3 linked regions of the Notamacropus eugenii genome follow. The protein of the gene in region 3 interacts with the protein of the main gene of each other region in a biochemical or structural test. Links are inferred from orthologs where the notes say so. Each region holds a gene or a part of one and is shown on either strand. Other genes may lie near its edges.

What was found.
Region 1: the proteins of PEX19 (region 3) and ABCD2 form a complex in vitro, tested with the Homo sapiens proteins (3 studies listed by BioGRID and IntAct, with this or other methods). The link is inferred for Notamacropus eugenii from reciprocal best matches to the Homo sapiens genes PEX19 and ABCD2.
Region 2: the proteins of PEX19 (region 3) and ABCD1 form a complex in vitro, tested with the Homo sapiens proteins (3 studies listed by BioGRID and IntAct, with this or other methods). The link is inferred for Notamacropus eugenii from reciprocal best matches to the Homo sapiens genes PEX19 and ABCD1.

The regions. Positions count from the first base shown.
Region 1 is NC_092874.1:212,092,230-212,099,953, reverse strand, and holds the start of ABCD2 (ATP-binding cassette sub-family D member 2), read right to left. Parts: upstream 3,015-7,724; 5' UTR 1-3,014.
Region 2 is NC_092879.1:22,531,502-22,539,229, reverse strand, and holds the start of ABCD1 (ATP-binding cassette sub-family D member 1), read right to left. Parts: upstream 3,015-7,728; 5' UTR 2,889-3,014; coding exon 1,950-2,888; intron 1-1,949. Other genes in the region: BCAP31 (B-cell receptor-associated protein 31), read left to right, coding at 5,172-5,263, 5,760-5,860. UniProt on the Homo sapiens protein: ATP-dependent transporter of the ATP-binding cassette (ABC) family involved in the transport of very long chain fatty acid (VLCFA)-CoA from the cytosol to the peroxisome lumen.
Region 3 is NC_092873.1:385,304,560-385,311,894, reverse strand, and holds the start of PEX19 (peroxisomal biogenesis factor 19), read left to right. Parts: upstream 1-4,333; 5' UTR 4,334-7,019; coding exon 7,020-7,083; intron 7,084-7,335. UniProt on the Homo sapiens protein: Necessary for early peroxisomal biogenesis. Acts both as a cytosolic chaperone and as an import receptor for peroxisomal membrane proteins (PMPs).

The sequences.
Region 1 (7,724 bases), on a different chromosome or scaffold from region 3:
AAATTTTGAGATTTTTTGAGAATTTATTTTGTAGGCTACAACTTTGCTAAAGCTATTGTCTCAATGAGTACCTTTGCTGATTCCCTAGATTTTTCCAAGAAAATTATATTATCAGCAAACAAGGAGAGTTTTATCTTCTTTTTTTACCTATCTTTATGCTTTTAGTTTCTCTTCTTATTGCTGTTACTAGCAATTATAGAACTATATCAAATAATAGTGAGGAGAGCAGAAATCTTTGCTTCACTCCCATATTTATTGGAAAAGGTTCTAGTGAATACCCCTTACATATGATTCTTGGTTTCAGTTTTAGAGAGATGTTTTTTATATTTTAAAAATGTCCCCCTATGCCTATACTTTAAAGGTTGTTTTTTTTGTTTTGTTTTGTTTTTTGTTTCAAATAAAGAATTATTGTACTTCATCAAAGGCTTTTTTTGCATCTTTTGAGATTATTATATGGATTTGCATGTTTTGGTTTTTCATATGATTAGTTATGTTGAATTGTTTTCTTAATGTTAAACCATCTTTCCATCCCTGACATAAATCCCACTTGGTAATAATGAATGAGTTCTTGAATAAATCATTATAGTCTGACAGGATTCTGTTTAACAATTTGAGGGTCAATGTTCATTGTTGGCCTATGGTTTTCTTTCTGTATTTTTATTTTTCCCCATTTTATATGTTAGGAATATATTTGTATTATATGATGATTCTGATAAGATGTTTTCTTTCTCAATTTTTGAGAATAATTTTTGAAGTCCAGTTACTAAATGCTATTTAAAAGTTTGATAGAATTCTCCTTTTCTGAGATTCACTTATCTAAGTTCTCTATCTCATCTTCTGATAGTGCAATTATTTTATATTTTTGAAGCTATTCCTCTGTGTCTTTCATGTTCTGTTTTGTTAGCATGTAACTGTTTTGATTTTTTTTGTTTCACCTGGCTTAGCTATGATTTTACTTTCCTTATTCGATATTTTATTAATTTGATTTTCTGCTTTTCTTTTTAATCAGATTAACTCAGTGTTTATCAATTTTATTAGTCTTTTCAAAGAATCAGGCTTTAGTTTTATTAATCATTTCTATGGTTATTTGTTGTTAATAATTTACATATTTCTTCTTTAATTTTTAATATCCTTTGTCCTTATTTTAGGTTTATTTGTTGGTTTTCTAATTTTTTATGCACATTTACTTCATGAACCCTCTCTTTTTCTATTTTGTTATTTTATGTTTGTAAAGGTATCATTTTTCCCTAGTGACTGTTAGTTGCATCACAGAAATTTTGATATGTTGTTTCATCATTATAATTTTATTATTCATTGTTCCAATGATTTTGTTCTTTGACTCACTTGTTCTTTAGAATTTCATTATTAAGTCTCCATTTGGTCTGTATCTTTTGTTTGTGGTCCCTGAAATGATTACTGTTGTATTGCATTATGGTTTACAAAGGAGGTATTAACCATTTCTGCCTTTTAATATGTATTTACACTGTCTCTGTGCCTTTGCACATGGCAAATTTTTGTAGAAGTTTAATGTGGGGTGATAAATATGCATATTCTTTTGTAGGACCATTTAAAAGATCCCATAAATTTTATAATTCTAGTTTCTCCTATAATTTACTCCTTTCTGAATTTGTGTTTTTGTCATTTTTCTGTTAGACTTATCCAAAACTGAAAGAAGTATATTGAAATCACCTGTCAGTATTGTGTTACTGTCCATATATTCTTATAGCTCAGTTAATGTTTTTTTTAAGGATTTGGATGCTAAGGCATTTATAGCATGTAAGTTCATTACTGATACTGGTTTGTTGTCTATTGCATTGTTCATTTCAGCATAATGTAGGTTTTTTGTTTATAACTTTTTATTTTTTGAATGTTTGTTTTTGCTTTTTAATATAGTATGATGGCAAATCCTGCCTTTTTTAGATTCATTTGACGTATAGTAAATTTTTCTATTCCCTCAATTTTATTTTTGTGTATATCTTTCTTTAGTAAAATATTTTTAATGAGAAAACAGATTGTAGGGTTTTGTTTTCTTATCAAACCTATAACTTTTTCATTGTGTTGGATTGTTTACTCCATTTACATTTAAAGTTATGAGAATCTGATTTGTATTTTTCTCCTTTTCTAATAAAAGTTATGATTTTTCCCCTCTTCTGTAATAATTACAATACTGTGGTCCTTAAGTTATTTTACTTTAATTTTTTTAAGGTGCCTGAGTTTCCACTGAGATTTTTGTTCATCCCTGATACCCTCCTCTAATTTGTTAACACTTTCTTGTTTTGCATATTAATTTTTTTCCTTTCCTGCTTTTATCTGTTTATATAATTCCTCCTTTCTCTTCTTAGTCAAGTAGATTTGCCATTCTTTTCCTCCTCCTTCAACTAGTCTTATTTCTTAGGGTTTTTTATTTCATTTTTGCACCCATTTTCTAAAAGGATTCCTCTCTCTTCAATATCCATTTCTCTTTTTTGTCTGCTCTAGACCATCATTCTCTGTTTCATGATCATGATAATTACCTATCCTCTCTCTTTTCTCTGTATTTCTCATGTGACCAAAGCTTTCAAGAGAATCATTTTACTTCTAGGCACTTTCTAAAATGGTAGAACTCACCCATAGATTCCCCTTTTCCACTGTACCTGTCTCCCAGAACAATGTCAAATATTTCAGGTGTCAGAGAGGACACTGTTCCACAGTAGGGTCCTTCCCCCTTTACATCACTCATTATGCAGTCCACTATTACTCTATAGTCTGTTCTACTTGCCTTCTTTCTCCATTTGCCTCAAAATTTCCTTCCTGGACCCATGCTTCCTCATTCCCCCAAGTACCTTTTTTCCAGGAATCTTGACTCCCCCATACCCAAGATAGAACATGTAGACTTTTCAAGCACCACATCCATCAGGACACATCCAGTACAAGGTCTCCATCTCCCTTCACAAACAAACTCTCTTCAGTCATAGGAGCATTTATCAGTGGAACTCCCTTTTCAATCATTTCCTTATCCTTACTATTCCCTTGGAGGCTGAGACCACAGGGGTCAACTTCCCCCCATTGCTAGCCCTTGATTTAAACCTAGCGTATCACTTTCTCCTCTCTTTTCCCCTGCTTCCCTCCCTCTCGCCCACCCTCCCATTTCACATACCTTCCCATAATGTAATGTAGTCCCACAAAAGAAGCATTAATCTATAGGCAGGATATCCACAATGCTCCATACCCACCTCTGCCTTTACCACTTTCTCTTTTTACACATATAGAAAGAAATTTCTTACTGGTTTTTCTACTTTCACTCTGTTGCTCTTGCCATCCTTGATTGTTTCACTTATTCACTTCTCCTGCATTTCTATTTTTTGAGGTATTTGAAAAGCAAATAATCCCTTCAGTTCTGGTTTCCTTGCTAAAAATGTTTCAACTGCCTCTTTATTATTGAATGCCTGTTTTTTTTCATGTGTGATTGAATTTAAAATTGCAGGGTAGGTCACCTTGTGCTGAATCTTGAGCTCCACTGCTCTTAAGAACATATTATTCCATTCTCCTGTTTTCTAGTGGGGGCAGAATAGTCTTCTTTTGTTCAAATTTTCTTTCCTTTTCATTTCAAAGTCTTTATCAAAATCCTTTTTAAATTTAACCAATTTGTGTTTGCAGCCTTGATTTTTTTTTTCTGGCAGTTATCTGTGAATTCTCTCAATTGGTATTTCATTTTCTATATTCAGAAGCTCTGGGAAATCAATCAACACCTATTAAGCAACTACTACGTACCAAGCACTGTCCTGAGCACTGAGGAATACGAAGAGGCAAAAGACAGTCATGACCCTCAAGGAGCTCATAGTCTAGTCACATTCAAATAAACATATACAAACAAGCTATGTTACAGGATAAAAAGAAAACAATTAACAGAGGGAAGGAACCAGAATTAAAAGGGTTTATAAAAGATAGAATTTTAGTTGAAACTTTAAAAAAAGCCAGAGAAAGAAGCCAGGATGCAGAGTTAAGGAGGGAAGTGTTTTAGACAGAGAGGACAGTCTTAGAAAATGTCCAGAACTGAGAGGGAGTTCACAGAAGAGCCAGGGGGCCAGAGTCACTGTATCCAAAAGTTCATGTTGGGGAGTAAGGTGTAAGGAGACTAGAAAGATAGATTATAAAAGGTTTTGAATGCTAAAAAGAGGTTTCTGTATTTGATTCTGGAGGTGATAGAAAGCTACTAGAGTTTATTGAGAAAAGGTGTGGCATGGTCCTATCTGCACTTTGAGGAAAATCACATTGATGATATTGGTGAATGGAGGATGATTTGGAGCAGGGAAAGATAGTCAGGCAGACGCATTGCCAGGCTATTACAATAGTCCAGGTGTAAGCTGATGAAGGTTTGCATTACAGTGTTAGCAGTAACTGAGAATAGAAGGAGGTAAATATAATTGATGTGAAAAGGTGAAATTTACAGGCCTTGGCAACAAATTGGATATGATAGGTGACAGTGCAGACTTGAGGATGGCTTTTAGGTTGCAAGCCTGAGGAATGGGAGATTGATGTTGCCTTCTATGGTAATAGGGAAGATGGAAGCAGGAGAGTTTTTAGGGAGAATAATGAGTTCTGCTTTGGATATATTTAGTTTAAGATTTCTACTAGACATCCAGTTTGTAAGGTTTAAAAGATAGTTGGAGACGTAAGATTAGAGGTCAACAGAGAGGTTGGGGCAGGATAAGTAAATTTATGAATCATCAGCATAGAGATAGTAGTTAAGTACATGGGAACTGACAACATGACCAAATGAAGCAGGATATAGGAGAAAGAGAAAAGGATCCAGGAAAGAGCCTTGAGGGACACCTATGGTTAAAAGGCATGAACTGGAGGAGGATCTAGCAGAGCAGTGCCAAATTAAGGAGGCATAGATATTAACAGGGTGATGGGTGAAATCTGAAATAACTGAGGAAACAAAGGCCTGAGCTTCCAAGTATATCAGTTTATTAAGCAATGCATGGCAATTGCATAACAATTTAGAACCAGGCCTTCTTAATTTCACCCTGGACCCCAAATACAGGAGCAAACAGATTTTTATCTGTTAAAAGCAAACAACAGTATATAAAACAGGGCACAAGATTAGGTCACCTGATTTCTAATTGGAGGAAAGATTAGGGACTTTCCTTGTTGAATGAATTTCAAAACTTGGGAGCAGGGAGAGTGAACAGGTGCAATTCCCTGAAATCAGAAAAAGAGCTGTCCCACTGCCCTCCAAGTGTCTGTATGTAATCAAATAAACAAAGAAACAGTAACTGAGTCACCAGTACAGGGCCAGTTTGCAGATAAGGCATAGGTTGCTTGAGATGTACAACTGTGAGAAAACTCCTTGCATCAGTCTTTGGATCTGACTGGATTTCTGGTGAGCATTACCAGGTCCTTAGTTAAGGGTCTGAAAACAACAGGTAGTGGTACCCATGCAGGGGGTTAGGCTCAAATAACATAATGAGATTTTCTGCACAATTAAATTAAGTTTTCTTACAAGAAAGAAAGTGGACTAGACCCACAATTGAATATGGAAAAGGAATTTAGATCTAGAGTTAAATCATAAGATGGAGTCAGTGTGGTTCACTTAATGCTTATAATTCCTTCAATAATGATAGGCCAATGAATTCTGAGGGACAGTTTTGTTGCATTTCAGAGAAAACTAACCTAATCCATGTTGTGGGCAAAGGGAAAATCGCTGAAATAGTTCTATAACACACCACCCCATGATGACAAGGTTCTAAGAATCTTCTAGAGAGATCATTAGAAGGAATGAGTTTTAGATCTCAATGGTATGGTCAACACGGTGGTTATGTCAAAATCTTTGCAGTTTCAGTGGTTCTTCTGATGCAAGGCAAAGACAATGGACAGAAGCAGCATCATGAACAGAAGAGAGGATGATACTTCCAGCATAGTCAACAATTCTTCATAGTCAGGATCATCTGTAATGAAGTGATTGAAGTCATAAGCCTCTGACTTGTAGTAAGTTGCCCCATTATGTTATGTGTGTTCACAGGGCAGATAGGTGGTGCAGTGGATAGAGAACCAGTACAGGAATCAGGAGGACCTGAGTTCAAATCTCACCTCAGACACGACACTCAGTAGCTGTGTGACCTTGAGCAAGTCACTTATCCCCAGTTCCCTCATCTTGGGTCCTCTCCAGTCATCCTGATGGATATCTGGTCACTGGATTAAGATGGCTCTGGAGGAGAAGTGAGGCTAGAGCCCTGCACAGCCTTCCCTCACTCAAAAAACAAAGTCAAGTGCAAGTCATGTCATTATTTCTCTGATGTCATGGTCTTCTTTGGCAATGAAGGATGAACACACATGTGTGTTCACATGGGTCTGTCTAGATAAGATTCCCAGGGTACTATAGATAGAAATATCTAGAGTGTCTGTAGCTTAGCCTTATCAAGGTCAAGGGAGATTCTTAACTCATGCCAGGCAAGGAGGAAGAGACTGGGGCCATGAGGCTGACCATTCTGCTCTCCTCAGAGAGAGACAGAATACTAGGCTATCTGAAGGAGAAAGACCTTGAGACCTCAGTGACTCTGTAACATGGAAGAAACAACAAATATAGAGAGAATCAGATAAAACTGTTCCCCCAAACAGTCTTTTTTTTAAAAAAATCAGGTAAGTCTTTCAGAAGACTAGATACAAGAAACTGCTAACCTGGATAGGCTTTCCCCTTCCTAGGGCAGCCCAAAACAGACCACAGTCTTGGAGAATCTAAAACAAGCTAGCCATCAGTTTCCATCAGGATACCCCACGTGGAAAATGTGAGTTTGCCAAAACCTGAAAAATCTAATGAAATTTATTTTTTCTTAAAATATGGAAGATAGAGCTCTTCTGGGGGCCAAGTTGGTGGAGTAAGCAGGAAATAGCCTTAATACTCCCATATTCACCTCTAAACATCAATAAAACAGTGCCCCAAAATGAATCCTAGAAGAGCAGAACCAGCAAAAAGACAGGGTGAAAACAATCTCCAAGCCCAAGAAACTTGGAAGGTCAACAGAAAGGATCTGTCTCACTCAGGTAAAAGAGTAGTGCAGTCCAGGACAGGAAGCATCCTGGGAAGCTAGAAGCAAGCCTGCCTTAGCCAACTAGCAGGAGGTCCTAATCCTCAGTGGGGTGAAGCAGGCAAATGCCAACATCAGGACTCCAAAATGACTTGACATAGTAAGGCTAATGGGCAGACACCAGCACTGAGGCTGCCAAGAGCTTCAGTGTAGCCCCCAGCAAACAGGCAGATGTCAGTGCTAGGACCCACCCACATCCCTCAGTACACCTGGACCTTGCATGTGCTAAGGAAACAGGCAAAGGCTAGCATCAGGACCCATCATGTAACCCAGCATAGCCAAGCAAACAGGCAGATTCCAGCAATGGAAATCTCAGTAGGCCTCACACAGGCAGATATCAGCACTGGAACCCCACCTCAGCACCAGGTAAGCTGCCAGAACCCTTTGGCCTCCAACAGCACCAGCCACCCCATACATCACCCCCCCAGCACAACACCAGACACAAGGATCCATGTGGACCTCAGAACAACATCAGTGCAGCACCAGATAAAAAACCAGGGCCTCCAACCCCTGGCACAAGAAGCTTGGAATAGAGCCCTTACACCACAGATGCAGAGCTTAAATTTTAAAGTAAGGGAAAAGGCTATAAAAGATGAGCAAAAATCAACAAAAAAAGAATCTGACCATAGAGAATTATTATGGCGAATTTATGATCAA
Region 2 (7,728 bases), on a different chromosome or scaffold from region 3:
ATCCCTCCTACCCGATTACACACTTCCCCCACAAGCCACGTGTCACCTGCTGAACAAACATCGGGATAAAGGTTTCCCCAAATTACACAGCTTAGTACAAAGGAATCTTGGAGAAAGACCGTCCCCTTTAGGGCCCCTTCCCACTAAGAGCTCGAAGTGAAAGTACGTCAACAGGCAGAGGGACAGGGGAGATACCCATTCTGCAGCACAGGGTGAAAGTGAAACAAGGAGGTTGGCGCCTGCGCAATGAAGCCCCCAGCCCCAAGAAGGGAAGAGAAGGTGATAAAGAGAGCGTTGGCCCGGAGTAACCTCTCCCGGAGCCCCATGGTTATGCAGTTAAGGCAGAGGCTGATTCCACCCCGTTAGAACATTCCAGAGGCCCTAGCCACTGGCAGCGAAAACCATAACAGATCTTATTCCTGATCTTTTTGCCGGGGGCAGACTCTGCCAGGAGAAGGCTGATCCGGGAGCGGTCTCCCCGAGAGGACAGTGGGATTTGGCCAGGGTTGCGGAAGGGCGGACACCCTCCCTTGGTGGGGAAGCATGGGCAGGAAGTGGCCCATACCAGCCTAGTCCCCCGAGGGGCCCTGCTGGGGGTGGGAAAAATGAGCTCAAGATAGCCTTCAAGTATCCAATTCCCTAGCGGGGAAATAGGTATACAGTAGAGTGTGGGAGGAGGAAAGGATACAAGGGGAAAACTGGCAGCTGAGACCAGGACAAACAGGAGTTACACAACTTCCCCGTGATCTCTGTCGACTAGGTCTGTTATCTCAGCATCCCTTCATTCCCTCCTTTTCAAGGAAATGAGGAAGGGGGGTGGGGGAGAAGGCACGGGGCCCCAATCCGACTGAGAAACTTTGCAGGCAAGGAGCCATGTTGGTATTGGATCCTAGAGACGAGGAAGGAGGTCAGCAAAGACCTGACCCCTAATCCCAAATGGCCAGTCTTTGCTGGTGCCGCTTGTTAACCGAGCTTGGGTCTGAGTCATTCTTTGAACACCCCCGCCTTCCAGAGGCCCATCAGAGGGCTACCTGGGTTTCAACAACAGAGAATAGGGAGGGGTCAGACAATCAAGGAGCCGGGTCTTGATTCAACCAGCTCAAGTCACATGGCAAATGGCAGTTCTCCATTTCCCCCTTTCCCTGGCCCCAAGCTGCCCTCCTCCTTCCACTGGAACCAAAAACATCCCAGATTTCCCAAACTTTGAAAGCCCTGCATTCTGTGGTTCTGAGTGCCTCTGACTCTGCATTTCTTCTTCCCCACCCCTTAGCATGAAAGCCAAGAGCTTGGTCCTCAGAGAATACATTCCCAGTCCTTGGCATCTTCCCAGCTCAGTCATTAGGTTAGACAGACCCAGCCCTGGGACCTCGTAGGGCTCTGGGCAAAGAGAAACTTGCCCTAGAGCATGGAGGACTGGAAGAACCTCAAGGAACAAGGTTGGAGGGGGCCAGGGAGGCTCTCGGGTATGAAGATAGACAAGCAGAGACTTGAATGGGATGCTCTAGTCTGAAACCGCTAAGATTTTCTGGCAGCCAGTCTCGAGAACAAAATAAACAGAAGTGTCAAAGAAAGCAGCAGTTTGTAATTTAGATGGAGCTGGGAGAGAACCCCTCACCATCATGATCTTCCCCTGTGCTACCCCCAGGGACACTTCCCCTACACACACACACACACACACACACACACACACACACACACACACACACACACACACACACAACATACTCCTACATCAATCTCCAACCTTTCCTGAAACCTCCCTTTTTTTCACCCGACCGCAAAGTCTGAACCCCCACCTCCCCATTAGGTTCCTCTTCCACCACTAACCCCAATACCCCTCCCCCCTTTCCTTCCTCATTTCTGCCACCAACTCCTTGGACAACTGAAGCCTTTCCCCAATGTGGGCCCTGTCTCCCCTGTCATCCTCCACATCCCCCATGGCTCCCCACCTCGTGGCCTCCGTAGAAGGCAATCTCCTCCGAGTTGGCCACCACTCTCGAGTGCATGTAGCGCAGTTCCCCTTTGCGGCGGGCCTCCTCGGCCACCAGCTCTCCGAATTTGGGGGAGCAGGCCCGAAGCACCTTGGCCGTGAGGAAGACCACCAGGCCTGCGATGGCCGACGGCCAGGATGTGCTGGCTCCCCGGGAGCGAGCTGTGCGCACCAGGGTGTACGAGGTCACTGCCACATCGAGCAAGGGCTTGGTCAGGTTGGAGTAGAGGTGGGCCACTGAGGCAGCGAAGGCTACCACGTCCTCAGTGAGGGACTGGTCAGGGTTGCGCAGGCGGCCGTCCATGTTGCTGACTCGGTAGTAGGTTTGCTGGCTGAAATAGAGGCGGTAAGCGTGCTCCACGAGGCGGCTGCGGAAGGCCAGCGCCAGGCGGCCCTCCAGGTAGCGGATGGCGCTGTTCACGAAGGTGGCGGGCAGCGCGATGAGCAACCACTGCAGCAGCTGCCAGCTGAAGGCCCGCGGCTGCTTGCGCACGATGCAGCGGGCCAGGCGGCCATCCAGGCGGGCCACGTACACGGACAGGAAGGTGCGGCTGACCAGCGCCGCCGTGTGCAGGCCCAGGAGCGCGGTCTCCCGGCACAGGACCTTGGGGAACAGGAGCCGCAGCAGCCACAGCAGCCGGCGCAAGAATTCGCGGTTGGCGCTGGCGCTGGTACTGCCGCTGGCGCCACTGCCCGTGGCCCCGGCGGCCGAAGAGCCCGAGGCGCTGCGGGCCTCCGCCTCGGCCCGGCCCGGGGGGCCCCGCGGGTGCGGCGTCACCAGGCACTGGCGGACCAGGGGGTAGATCTTGTGCGCCCCGTAGGCCGTCAGGGCCAGCACCACGGCCAGGCGCCGCAGGGAGGCCGCCCGGGAGGGCCGCGCCGTCGAGAGCACCTGCATGGCGCCCGCCTGGAAGGGTGGGCACCCGAGCTTCTAGCGGAGGCCGCGGAGGTTACCCGGGCAACTAAGGCCTTGCGGGCAGGCCCCTTAGGCCGTTTCCTAGGAAACCAGGGGTGCCACAGGGCATCCACTGAGGTGGTTGCCCTAGCAACCAAGCAGGTACCTGTCAATCTGGGTCTCTCTTTTGTCAATCTTGGGTCCCTCCTCTATGTCTCTGGCTCTTTTCAGTCTGTCTGTGTGTCAGTCACTCCTTTCTGTCTCTACACTTTTCCTCTCTCCAGTTTGTCTCTCCTCTCTCTGCTCTCTCCTCTCTGTCTCTATCTCTCCTCTTCACCCTCCTCAGTCAGTCAGTGATCCCTACCCCCAGACAGCCCCGTGGACCACGTAGGGTCAGGATTTGGGGTGGAGGGGGGCCGGGGAAGGGAGTGCTATCTTCTCTTCCTCCTCCTCTGTTTCTTCCTCCTCCTCCTCCTCCTCCTCCTCCTCCCAGGGCGCGGCCCCTCCCCAGGACAGCAAACTCGACCGCTCCTCAGCCAGACTGGAGCGACAGTGACTCCGCCACCGGCCCATAATCCCCACCCACCCCTCCCCGGGGGCGAGCGAGATGGGGAGGGGGGAGGAGGAGGAGGAGGAGGAGCTGCAGCTGCTTCGGCCGCCGCGGGCTACAGAGACCCCGCCCACCTCACGCTTCTAGCTACTCCCCGCCTCGCCTCCGAAATCATAGAGATATTGGAGGACTCAGTTGACTAGAGAGGCCATTTCCCACCCCTCCCACCCCCGGCTGGCCCCGCCCTCAGGGGTGTCGTCATCGGTAGAGAGCGCCCTCTGGCCCCTTTCCTGGGCATGCGCATTCCCGCACTCACGCTTTCCTACCTGCCCTCCGAGGCTGCTGTAGCAGTAGGTGGAAGCGGTGCGGTGGTTGGTGGAAGACTGCACAGGAGGCGGGGCCTGACCCTCCAACTTCCGATTTCCGGTCTGTGGACACAAGGCTGAGGGGCGGAATTTGGGTGGGAGAATACTGAGTTCGGGCACTCAAATCTTACGGCTGTGGTGCCGAGGCGCGCAGGTGAGAAGAGGGCGGGTCCGACCCGGCCAGGGGGCCAGCCAGAAGTTGAGGGGGGAGCCATGAACTAAGGGAAAGGACCCCCGTGAAGCTACCGGGCCCTGAAGGTGGCGGCCCCCTCGCTTCGGACGAGCGTGGAGCTGAAGACCGGAGAGGAGGGGGGACAGGGGACGTCCCGATGCCTGGGCGGGGAGGGGGTAGGGTACTGGGAGACGGCCGAGGCCGCGCAGGCGGTGGGGGTGGCTGCTGCCAAGGGAGCAGGACCCCTTCGGCCCCAGGGAGCGGAGCTAGGCCTGCGTCCTGGCATTGCCAGCTAACCAGATCTGTCGCAGAGTGCCGGGGAAAATTGGTCAGGAGGTGCATTTAGTGAGGGCGTGAGCGAAGGGTTTCTGCTGCATAGTCAGAGGGCCCTGATCAGGTTCCAACAGAGGGGTGGAGTAGGGTTACTTGTTTGGAGAGAAGGGGACCTTATTCTGGCCTATCTGGAAGACCTAGCCATTTCCAGATTCTCCTTTGCAGGGGCCCAAGTCATCTACTCCAATTAATTCATTTTACCAAATCTGTGCGAAGTGATTTGCAAAACTTTATATCTCCATGTAAATAGAGACTGCGGTTATTATCGTTATTAATTTGTTATTGTATTATACAAATTGGAAAAATAAAATAAAACCCGGCGAGATTAAATGGCCTACCCAGAGTCACTCAGGTGCCTGTTTTGGGAATCAAACACATCCTCTTTAGTGCTTTTCCCACCGGAAGTCAGTTAGTTTTGACTTCTGGCATCTCAAGATTCTACTTGGGTGCCTGGTTTAAGGGACATAGTAGTCCTGTGAATCACACTGTCTGTTCATGTGTTTGGGGCTTTTAAAACCCATACTCTGAAGACTTCAGTAAATTATGTAGTAGATTAATTTATTTACCAGAACCAAGGGGTCCCCTGGTCCTTTAGAAGTTGTTGATAGGTTCCCCCAGCTATGTTAATGTGGCTTAATTCACTTGCTTGTTTTAATTCCTGTTTGAAGGAACGTAGTATGGTTTTTAAAGCTGAGAAGAAGGATTGGTGAGGTATGGATCAGCACAGTTTCTTCAAGAATTTGTTGCTCATTGATCAGCTCCTCACCTCCACCCCTTTCTCATGGCCTGTGTTTCCTCAAATCTTTTCAGACATTTCAGAGGTTGGTCTATTCTGCCTCCAGGTCAAAACCAACTAGTGACTAAGGATGAGTCTTCAGTGGACTGCGGTTGCTACCTTCCTCTATGCAGAGGTCTTTGCTGTGCTGCTGCTCTGCATTCCTTTCATTTCTCCCAAAAGGTACAGCCTATTGAGTGATCAACTTCAGAGCTCAAGGTGCCTTTATGATGAATTGTGCAATGCTGAGCCCCATGACCTACGTGTATAGGTTTGGTGGCTAATTGATAGGACCTCCAGGGCTTCCCTAGTGGAATGATTCTTCATAAAGGGAGGCAGAGCCATCTGCTTTTCATATTTTTTAGATAAAGTGTTTCACCTACATGAAATCCTCCCAATTTCTCTTCCCATTCCCCTTTCACTTTTGGGTGTCTGCGGTGCAGCCAGGTTCCTAGGATGGAGGTGGATGTGGGAGGTTGGGGGTCCTTATGCAAGCTGATTCTCCTTAGTTCTAACACTTACCTAATACTTCTCTCCAGAAGTGTCAGTCTGTTGTAATTAAGCAATTGTCGGTCCAGGTGCACAGACTCCCCAGACTGGAAAGTTGAGAAAGTATCTGGGGCTGAGAGGGATCCCAGGGTACTTTGAGTATCTCCAGCTTCTGTTTCTTTCTCGTTAGATGGCAGAAGATCTTTAAGTCCCGCCTGGTGCAACTGGTGGTGAGCTATGGCAACACCTTCTTTGTGGTTCTCATTGTTATCCTGGTGCTGCTTCTCATTGGTGAGTGACAGAGATGTGGTCGTGGTGAGCAGTATCCCAAATAGGAACCTCTCACAATTCCATTTCTTCCATTTGTCTAATTTTCACAGTTGTGTCTCACCCCCCTTACCAGATTGTACATATCTTAGGCATCTGTCCTCTGATATTCTTCATAAACAGGGATGGCACTGTTGATCCATAGATGCTTTGGATGGTCTCCAGGATGCCTGGCCTTCGCATTAGTACCAGGTTCTAGCCACTGGTCCAACAGATCTGGACCCCAGACTTGAGCAAGCTTCTTCTGGTAACCACGTTTTAGGTACAGAGATTGAACAAGCTAGGCCCATTAAAAGTTGCAAAGGTAAACAGAGTCCCATTTTTTTGTATCCTTGAAGAGCCTATGTCAAAAGAAAGGCAAAAAAAAGTAAATTTCCCAACAGAATCAAGAAAAGCAATGAATGAGAGTAGAAAAAGCATTGGACTTGGGAGCTGATGTTGCCACTGGGACTAGAACCTAGATCACTTAACCCGCTTTGGGACTTGGAGCAAATCACACCCCACCTTGGGGTGAAGAAAATGTCACTGCTCCAAAAGAGCTTTAATGGCTTCTCTAACTGGTCTCAGGTTTCCCCGTTAGTCCAAGCAGGGAAGAACCTCCGTGCTGTAACAATAGTATGCCCCTATCCTACTTGTCTTCCTAGGGCTTGGCAGCTTAATTCACAAGATTCAAGGAGATGTGTCCAGGCAAGGTTGCATCTTAGCAAGATGGGTGTGACACATCAGTATTCAAACATGTGCAATGCCAGCTGCTTGTTTACCATACTGATGGCTATAGATTCACATTGACTTAGAAGTATTTTGTAAGGTAGCTGCTTTTAAGCAGGGTACTCTCACTACCAAGGTTTTGAGTCAGGTAGTGGCAAAAGAGTATCTCTGTTGTTCTTGGACCATTTTGAGACCAGGATTTTTTGGAGAGGAGGGTGGGGTAGCTTCGGGAACTCTTGACTCAATCTCAATCCAGATGCCACATGTACTCCTATATTCTTGCCTTCATGGGTTTTGGTTAGTACAGTGACCTGGAAATTCAAAACCACATGAACTGGGTGTAGGATACAGTCTCCCTTCCTGGGGTTATCGAGGGTTTGGCAGTTCTTGGATTATTGATTCCCAACTCTACTTTTATGATCCCACTTCGATTGGATACCTTCAGGCAGTTTACTCAGCCTTCTTGTGTCTTTCTCATTCCCCCGGCCCCCCTTGCCATTCATCAGCAATGACAGTTGAATCCTAAGCTATCTTTGGTCATACAGAGAGAGAGAGAGAGAGAGAGAGAGAGAGAGAGAGAGAGAGAGAGAGAGAGAGAGAGTGTGTGTGTGTGTGTGTGTGTGTGTGTGTGTGTGTGTGTGTAAAGAGAACATTCCCTTGCAAATTCATCTGTAAAACGAGCTGGAGAAAGAAGTGGCAAACCACTCTTTGCTAAGGAAACGTCAAATGGGGTCACAAAGAGTAGGATACAACTGAAATGACTGAACAACAACAAAATATAGCTATTTATTACTATATATCTAATAATTGATGGGAGATCCATTCTGGGCCTACTACCTATCTCAACAGGGACTACTGGATGAGATGACTTCCTTTTGCTTCTGAAGTCATTCAGAGGCCAAGTTTGAAGGGAGGTAGGTGGATGAGGGAGCCATTTATTAACAAATTACTTTGGGTTCTCATTCCACTCTGTTGATACTTCTTAGCAAATTTAATTGGACCCCTTAGGTAAGGGGAAATAGTGGTAGGGAAAGATTAGAGAAAAATTAGGCCATGTGGTAGATAATGACACATGAAATCCTTTGACTATTGGACTTCATTTTGGGGCTTTCATCCTCTAACTT
Region 3 (7,335 bases):
TGAGTTCAAATCTCACCTCAGACACTTGACAGTGTGACCTTGGGCAAGTCACTTAACCCCAATTGCCTCATCCTGGGTCATCTCCAATCATCCTGATGAATTTCTGGTCACTAGATTCAGATGACTCTGGAGGAGAAGTGAGGCTGGAGACCTGCACAGCCCTCACTCACTCAAAATAAAGTCAAGTACAAGTCATGTCATTATTTCTCTGATGGCATGGTCTTCTTTGGCAACAAAGGATGAACATACACACGACATGACATGACATAACGTGCCCATAAAATACCAAGATAAGTCCCATTATTCAAAATAATGTCTGATAGGTGCCTTGTCCTTGACAGTCATAAACAGAAGAATGCTCTGTCAGCTTCATCCAGTCTTGTAGTTGCTAGGGTCACAACAAGTATCTGAGACTAGATTTGAACTTAAGAAGATCAGCCTTCCTGACTCCAAACCTGGCACTCTATCCACTGTGCCACGTAGCTATCTTCCTACTGCTCCTATCTCCTTTCACCTCATTCTTTACATGAAGGGTTGGCCCTTCTTTCCATGGCAAACCCTTCTATGTGCATCCTTGATTTCATATTCTCCTATCTTATCTAGTATATTGCGCCTCCTATTATTGCCTTCTCCCTAATCTTCATTCTCTCCCTGTCTACTGTCTTTTGCCCTCCTGCCTACAAATTAAGTTTTTCTTCCCTATATTTAAAAAAACATCATAATTATTCTCTCCTTTTCTTCTGTTTATTTATTGGTTGGTCAAAATGATATTTAAATAAATCTGGTTGGGGGAAAAATCTTTGCATTAAATAACTCTTGATAAAAGTCCGAAATACAGAAACTATAGAGAATTGACACAGATATATAAGATTCCTAATGGACAAATCATCAAAAAGTTTTTAAAAGAAGAAACACAAACTATCAGTGACCACGCAAAAATGTTCAAAGTCACTAAAAATCAGAGAAAGGCAAATTAAAATAATCATGAAGTTTCACCTCATATCTATTAAGTTAGCAAAGATGCTGAAATATGGAAAAATATTGTTCTAAAGATTGTTGGATCTGTGATTTGAATCAACTATTCTGGAAAATATGAGGAATTATTCAAGAAAAGTTACTGAATTGTTCATAACCTTTGGCCCATAGATCCCACTTCTGGGATCATGTTGTTCTGTCTTTTTGGTCATGTCCAACTTCATGACCCCATTTGAGGTTTTCTTGGCAAAGATATTGAAGTGGTTTGCCATTTTCCTCTACAGATAATTTTATAGATGAGGAAACTGAGGCAAACAGTTAAGTGACTTGCCCAGCTAGTAAGTATCTGAGGCCAGATTTGAACTCATGAAGATGAGTCTTGCTGATTCCAAGCCAAGTGCTGTACCCACTATACCAGCTACCTGATCTCCTAGATTATATTTCAACAATAATGATAGAAAGTCTATACATTAAAAAAAAATGCTTATAGAAGCATTACCTGTGACAACCTGGAATCAAAATATGTGCCCAACAGCTGGGGAAAAGCTGGTATGTATATGCAATAGAATATTACAATACCATAAAAAAAATTGTGAAAATGAGAAATTTAGAGAAACACAAGACTTACATGAAGAAAGCAGAGCCAAAGGAAGTGTACATAATGCCTACAACAATAAACCAAGAAAAAGCAAAATAAGTCAGATTCGGTGGCCAATACTGGTGCCAACAAGTCATATTGATGAGATCCTTAGGCAAGTATCTAAGGCCTTCCACAGTTTGGGTCCAATTTTTAACTGTATTTCATTCATAGGATTCCCTTTCATATAGCTTTGATGATTTTGTGCATTCACATAAGCCAACCAATGCCTATAATTGTCTTCACAATTCCTTTTACATTTTCATTTGTAAAAATCTTGTTCTTCTATCAAGACTCTACACACCGGTAACATCAATGATGTTTCTCATTGAAGCAAAGTATTTTCTCTCTACTCAAACTTTTCCAGAGCACTTGAGATCCCTCTTTTGCTCCCATTACACCCACCTTGTATTACACTTATCTGACTACAAGTCTTTAAACTCTCTCAGAGACAAGGTAAGTTCCATCTGTTATCATTTCTTTGTTGGATTCATTTATTCTATTTATTTCCTCTTCTATTTGTGCCTAGCCTAAGATGAATAAAAATCCTACCATTCTGTCAACATAGTATCCTATATCTCCTCCCTTTCTCAGTCCAGCTTCTAGAATCTAGATAAAGCTGTTTATGCTCAGTACCTCCACTTCCCTTCCTTTCACTTTTTTTCTTAACTCTGCATCCTGATTTCTGATGTCATAACTCAGCTGAAAGTGCTTCCTCCAAAGTTACCAATGATCTCTTGATTGCCAAACTCAATGCTTTTTATTCAATACTCATTCTTCTTGACCTCTCCATGGCACCTGACCCTACTGAACACCCTCTTCTGGATGCTTCTCTCTGGATTTTGGGACTGTTTTCTCTTGGTTCTACTCCTCCCCACATGACCACTCCTTATTTTCCTTTGCGGGACTATCATGCATATCACCCCCTCACTCCCACCCCCTAATCCTGGCCTTCTTCTCTTTTCTCTCTTGACTCTCACTTGGTGACTTGATCAGCTGCCATGGGATCAATTATTATCTCTATCCCTGGGAATCATTTTTATGATTCCCATATCTATTTATCCAATCCTATTCTCTCTTCTGAGCTCCAGCCTCACATTATCAACTACCTATTAGATGTTTCTCACTGGATGTTCAATGAGCATCTCAAACTCTGCATGTCCCACCTGAGGCTCAGATTTTCCTCAGACCAGCCTCTTTCAACACTTCTCTATTTCTGTAGAGGACACCAGCATCCTTCCAGGCTCCCAGACTCTCAGTTTTGTAGTAACAGTCATACTACTAAGCTCGGTATCATCCCCCCACTCTTACCTCATACAGTTGTTCAGTTATCAGATCTTGTCCTGTCTATCTCCACAACATCTCTTAAATTCATCCCCTTCTCTCTACTCTATCACCACCCTAGTTCAGAGCCTCTAGTTGTACATTCATTCACTCATACCCCCAACTCACCTGGTCTTGGGGGGAGGGCATCAGAATATTCCTTGCTCCCCCCATTGCCACTTCCAAACTCTCTCTGCCACTATAACTCAACAACATCTTCTTTCATTTTTTATCCAAATTTATCATACAATCTAGATGCTAGTGGCTTTTATCAATTAACAACAACAGCTAACATTTATATAGAGCTTACTATGTGTCAGGAACTGTGCTAAAAGCTTTACAATTATTATCTTATTTAATCCTCACAACAACTCTGTGAGATAGGTGCTATTATCATCCCCATTTTACAGGTGAGGAAACTGAGGCAAATGTGACTTGCCTAGGGTCATACAGCTAATAAATATCTGGGGTGAAATTTGAACTCAGGTCTTCCTGACTTCAGGCTTGGTACTCTATTAACTGCTCCACAATATTATCCTTTCTTCATTAATGAGTTCTGTGGCTGGCTCAAAATCTTTCTCTCCACCCTACTCCTCACACTGGGAACTTATTCATACTAGTGCTCTCTCAAATACCCTAATTTCCAAGTTCTTCAATCTATTTAGTTCCCATGACTACTCTCACTGGTGATATTACCAGATCTCATGAATTTGATCATCATCTCTAGGTAGATGATCCCCAGTTCTATTTATTCAGCCCTTCTCTCTCCCTTAGGCTATATATAGTTTTTCATTAGCAGCCATCTTTGGGGCATCTCAAATTGGATGTCCTGTAGGTATCTCAAGTTCAACATGTCCAAGAGAGAACTCATCATTTCTCCTAAACCCTCTTCTGAACTTCTCTATTTTTTCACTCAGTAAAATTCTGCCCTCTCTTCCTCTCATCCCACGCCTACTCCCTATTAAGAATCAAAGGGAAACAAAACCCCTATCACAAACATCTGTGGTCAAGTACAACAAATTTCAGCATTGGCTAGGTCTTAAAGAAAAAAAAAAGTGTGTGTATGCACACGCACATATAAATACACACACATATGTCTGCATATATACATGTATATCTGTCCCATTCTGCAACTTTCACTTCTTATCAAGAGTTGTATAGTATGTTTCATCATCGGTTCTCTAGAACTGTTTATTTGTTACATTGTTCAGAGTTCCTAACTCTTTCAAAGCTGTTTATTTCTACTATATTGTTATCACTGTACAAATTGTTCTGGTTCTAATCACTTCACTATGCATCAGTTCAGGTGGCACAGTGAATAGAACATTGCAATAGCCTGCTAGTGGTTCTACCTGACGTCCCTCCCTATTCCAATCCATTGTCCATTTAGTCACCAAAGTAATTTCCCTAAATTATTCTCCTACTCAGTAAACCCCAGTAGCTCTTTATTGCCTCCAGAATCATACAAAATGCTCTGTTTGGTATTCAAAGACTTCAACACCTAGCCATATCCAAACTTCCCAGTCTTCTTACACGTTACTCCCCAGGCAGTACCTGGCAGGAACTCATCACTCCAGAATCCAGTGAAACTTCCTTCTGTGCTATTTCCATCCCTCTGCTCCAAGCATTTTCTCTACTGTCTCCCAACCCTGGAAAACACTGCTTCCTCAATTCTGACTGCTGATTCCCCTGGTTTCTTTTATGTCTCACCTAAAATCTCATCTTTTATAAGAAGTCTTTCACAATCTCTAATTTCCTATTTTTCTTGTGTATCAACTATAGATTTGTATAGCTTTGTTTGCATATTGTCTTAGCCCTATGAATTGTAAGCTCCTTTAGGGTAGAGAACTCTTTTTTTTGCTTCTTTTTGTATCCTCAGCACTTTTCACAGTGCCTAGCACATAGTAGGTGCTTACAAATATTGATCGATTAATTGGTTGATTGAGCTGCTGATCTTGCACATTGCTCTTTAGGGTTCAGCTGCTGATAAATTCAGGTATGGACTCCAATTCCAACATCTGAGATCTCACAAGGTTGAAACTTAGACCATTCCGTTTCCAATACTCATACACTTAAGAGCAGGAAAGCAAAAAAAATACAAAGGCAAAAAACCAGATACATCATATTCACAGCACATGCTAACCCAAGCTATGTATGTCTGAGTGTGGGGGGGGGGGGAGGAAGTGTTGGAGATAGGGAATGGGCAGCAGGAGGCTGCTGAGGACATGGCTATCATGTGACATCACCTCCATAATGTCATGATTCTCTTCCAGAACAAGGAACAAACAACATGTCCCATCCAAACAAAGGCTCACAAAGTACTCCATGACTTGAGCATCACGAGGAAAGGCTAATGTCCATTTGGTCATTTGGTGCCTTTTGAATGTACATTCAACAGCTCAGCAGTCAAAATCAAATGGTGTTTTCTTCACTGGTGGTAAATGGATGGGAAATAATCATAGAATACCTGTATATTCCCTCTGCTCCAGATCTTCAGAAACTTCCAGAAGCCAGCTCACCAAATCCCTGCATCTGCGCGTTATTGGGCCCTCATTGACCAGTGCCCTGCCACTTCAGATGGATTTTGTAGGTATGAATGTTTACGCCTTAAGTGTAGGATCTATTTCAGTTTTGTTTCTATCACCTTTAGCATGTAGCAAAGTGCCTGATGTTATTAAGTAGGAACTTAATAATGGTTGTTTGTTGATTAATAGTGGATATAAGGCTTGCCTTGTCAGCAAGATCTGGGTTAATGTTTTCCTTCTGACACATACTGTGGGTAATGTGGGTAAGATGCTTAACTCTCAATGCTAGACAATTCTATAAAACTTGTAAATTACAGAGGAATTGAGAATGTGTATTTGTGAAGAAAGTTTCTGCACAAGGATGAAATCACAAGCTAAAAAAAATTCAGTTCAATTCAATAAGCATTCAATAAACACATACTACGTGCAAGGTTCTAAACAAGGTATGGTAGCTTCAAAGGCAAATGAACAAAAAAAAACCACTCAAACCCAACTAGTCCCTTCAATCAAGAAGTTTAAATTGTGTTACGGTGGAAGCTATTAAATACAGGTGAGAAATGATGAAGGGGTGATGAGGGCCTGAATTGTGTGAATGGAGGGGGGGTGCATATAAAAGAAAAGAGTCCAATAGGACCGATTTTTTGAAATGTTCTTTGACAAACAGAGCATACACAGAACATAAAATATGTTGATGGGCTAAGCAGTTGAGTGGGTATGTGGGTTAACCTGTTGTTATTAATTTCAACTGATGAAAGGATGAATTCTAGTGTAAAATTTGAAGGTACCTAATAAATGGGTAAGTGAGGAGAGGCAGGAGAAAGATTTGACTTCGAATAATACATAGGATTCCCAAGCACTCGTTTTTTTTGTCTGTAGGGTTACAGGCTAATTCGTAGGCTCAAGTCAACACACATCCATTAAAAATGTGAAGTTACACATTGTCCAAAGTTTTTGAGAGTCACAAGACGTTTTCCTTGCAACAGCACTGTAAGGTAGGCAATGCAGAGCAGCAGGAACTGCATTTTGTGGATGAGGTCGGGCGACGCTCGCAGGGACACAGGAGGCGTCGTGTCTCCGCTGGCTGCAAGTCCCACATTCTTTCCGCTGCGGAAAACGCAAAGATAGCTCCTGTGGCAGGGCTTGCGATCTGAAGGGACAGAACCTGAACAGAACAGCTCGTACGAGCCAGCCCGTAGCGAGTTCAAGGGAAGGTACAACGCTTTAACAACGTGAGGAAAGGTCGTCACCGGGTCTCGGGGAAGCCTTCTTGGAGCACAGTACCTGAACTGGGCTTTGAAGGCGTTTCCACAGGTGGGCCTCGCGGCAGCGAAAGCACGAGCGCGGGGGCGGGGAAGACGGGCGCCCCGTCCGGCAGGAGGAGCAGGGGGTGGTCCGCAGGAAGAGAGAAATGAGGTCATCTGTCTCTTTAAAAATGGCGGTGCCCGGCCTGCCTCTCTCCCCATTGGCTGCGCGAGGCCGAAGAACAGCGGGTAGGAAGCGGGGAGCACGTGGTAGGAAGACGGGAGCCCGAGCTTCTACGGCAAGTCCAAGGGAGCAAGATGGCCGCGGCGGAGGAAGAGAACGCGTCGGGCACCGACCCGGAGATGGACGAGCTTCTGGAAAGTAAGGGCCGGACTGGGGACCCCGAGAGGCCAGAGGGCCCGTGGTCCTGGGCGTGGAGGGGGACGAAAAGCGCAGACGCTGGCGCTGGGGGGGGGCGTCTTTCTCCTCAGGGGCCACCCCGCTCAGGTCGGGGGTCTGCCGCGAGGAGGGGCCGTCAACCCCCGGCGTGGGGGGACGGCAAGGTGCGGCGGACAGCCTCGGGAGCCCAGGACGTGGTCCCAGCCGCCCCCCACAGTGCGCTTGGTGAAGCCA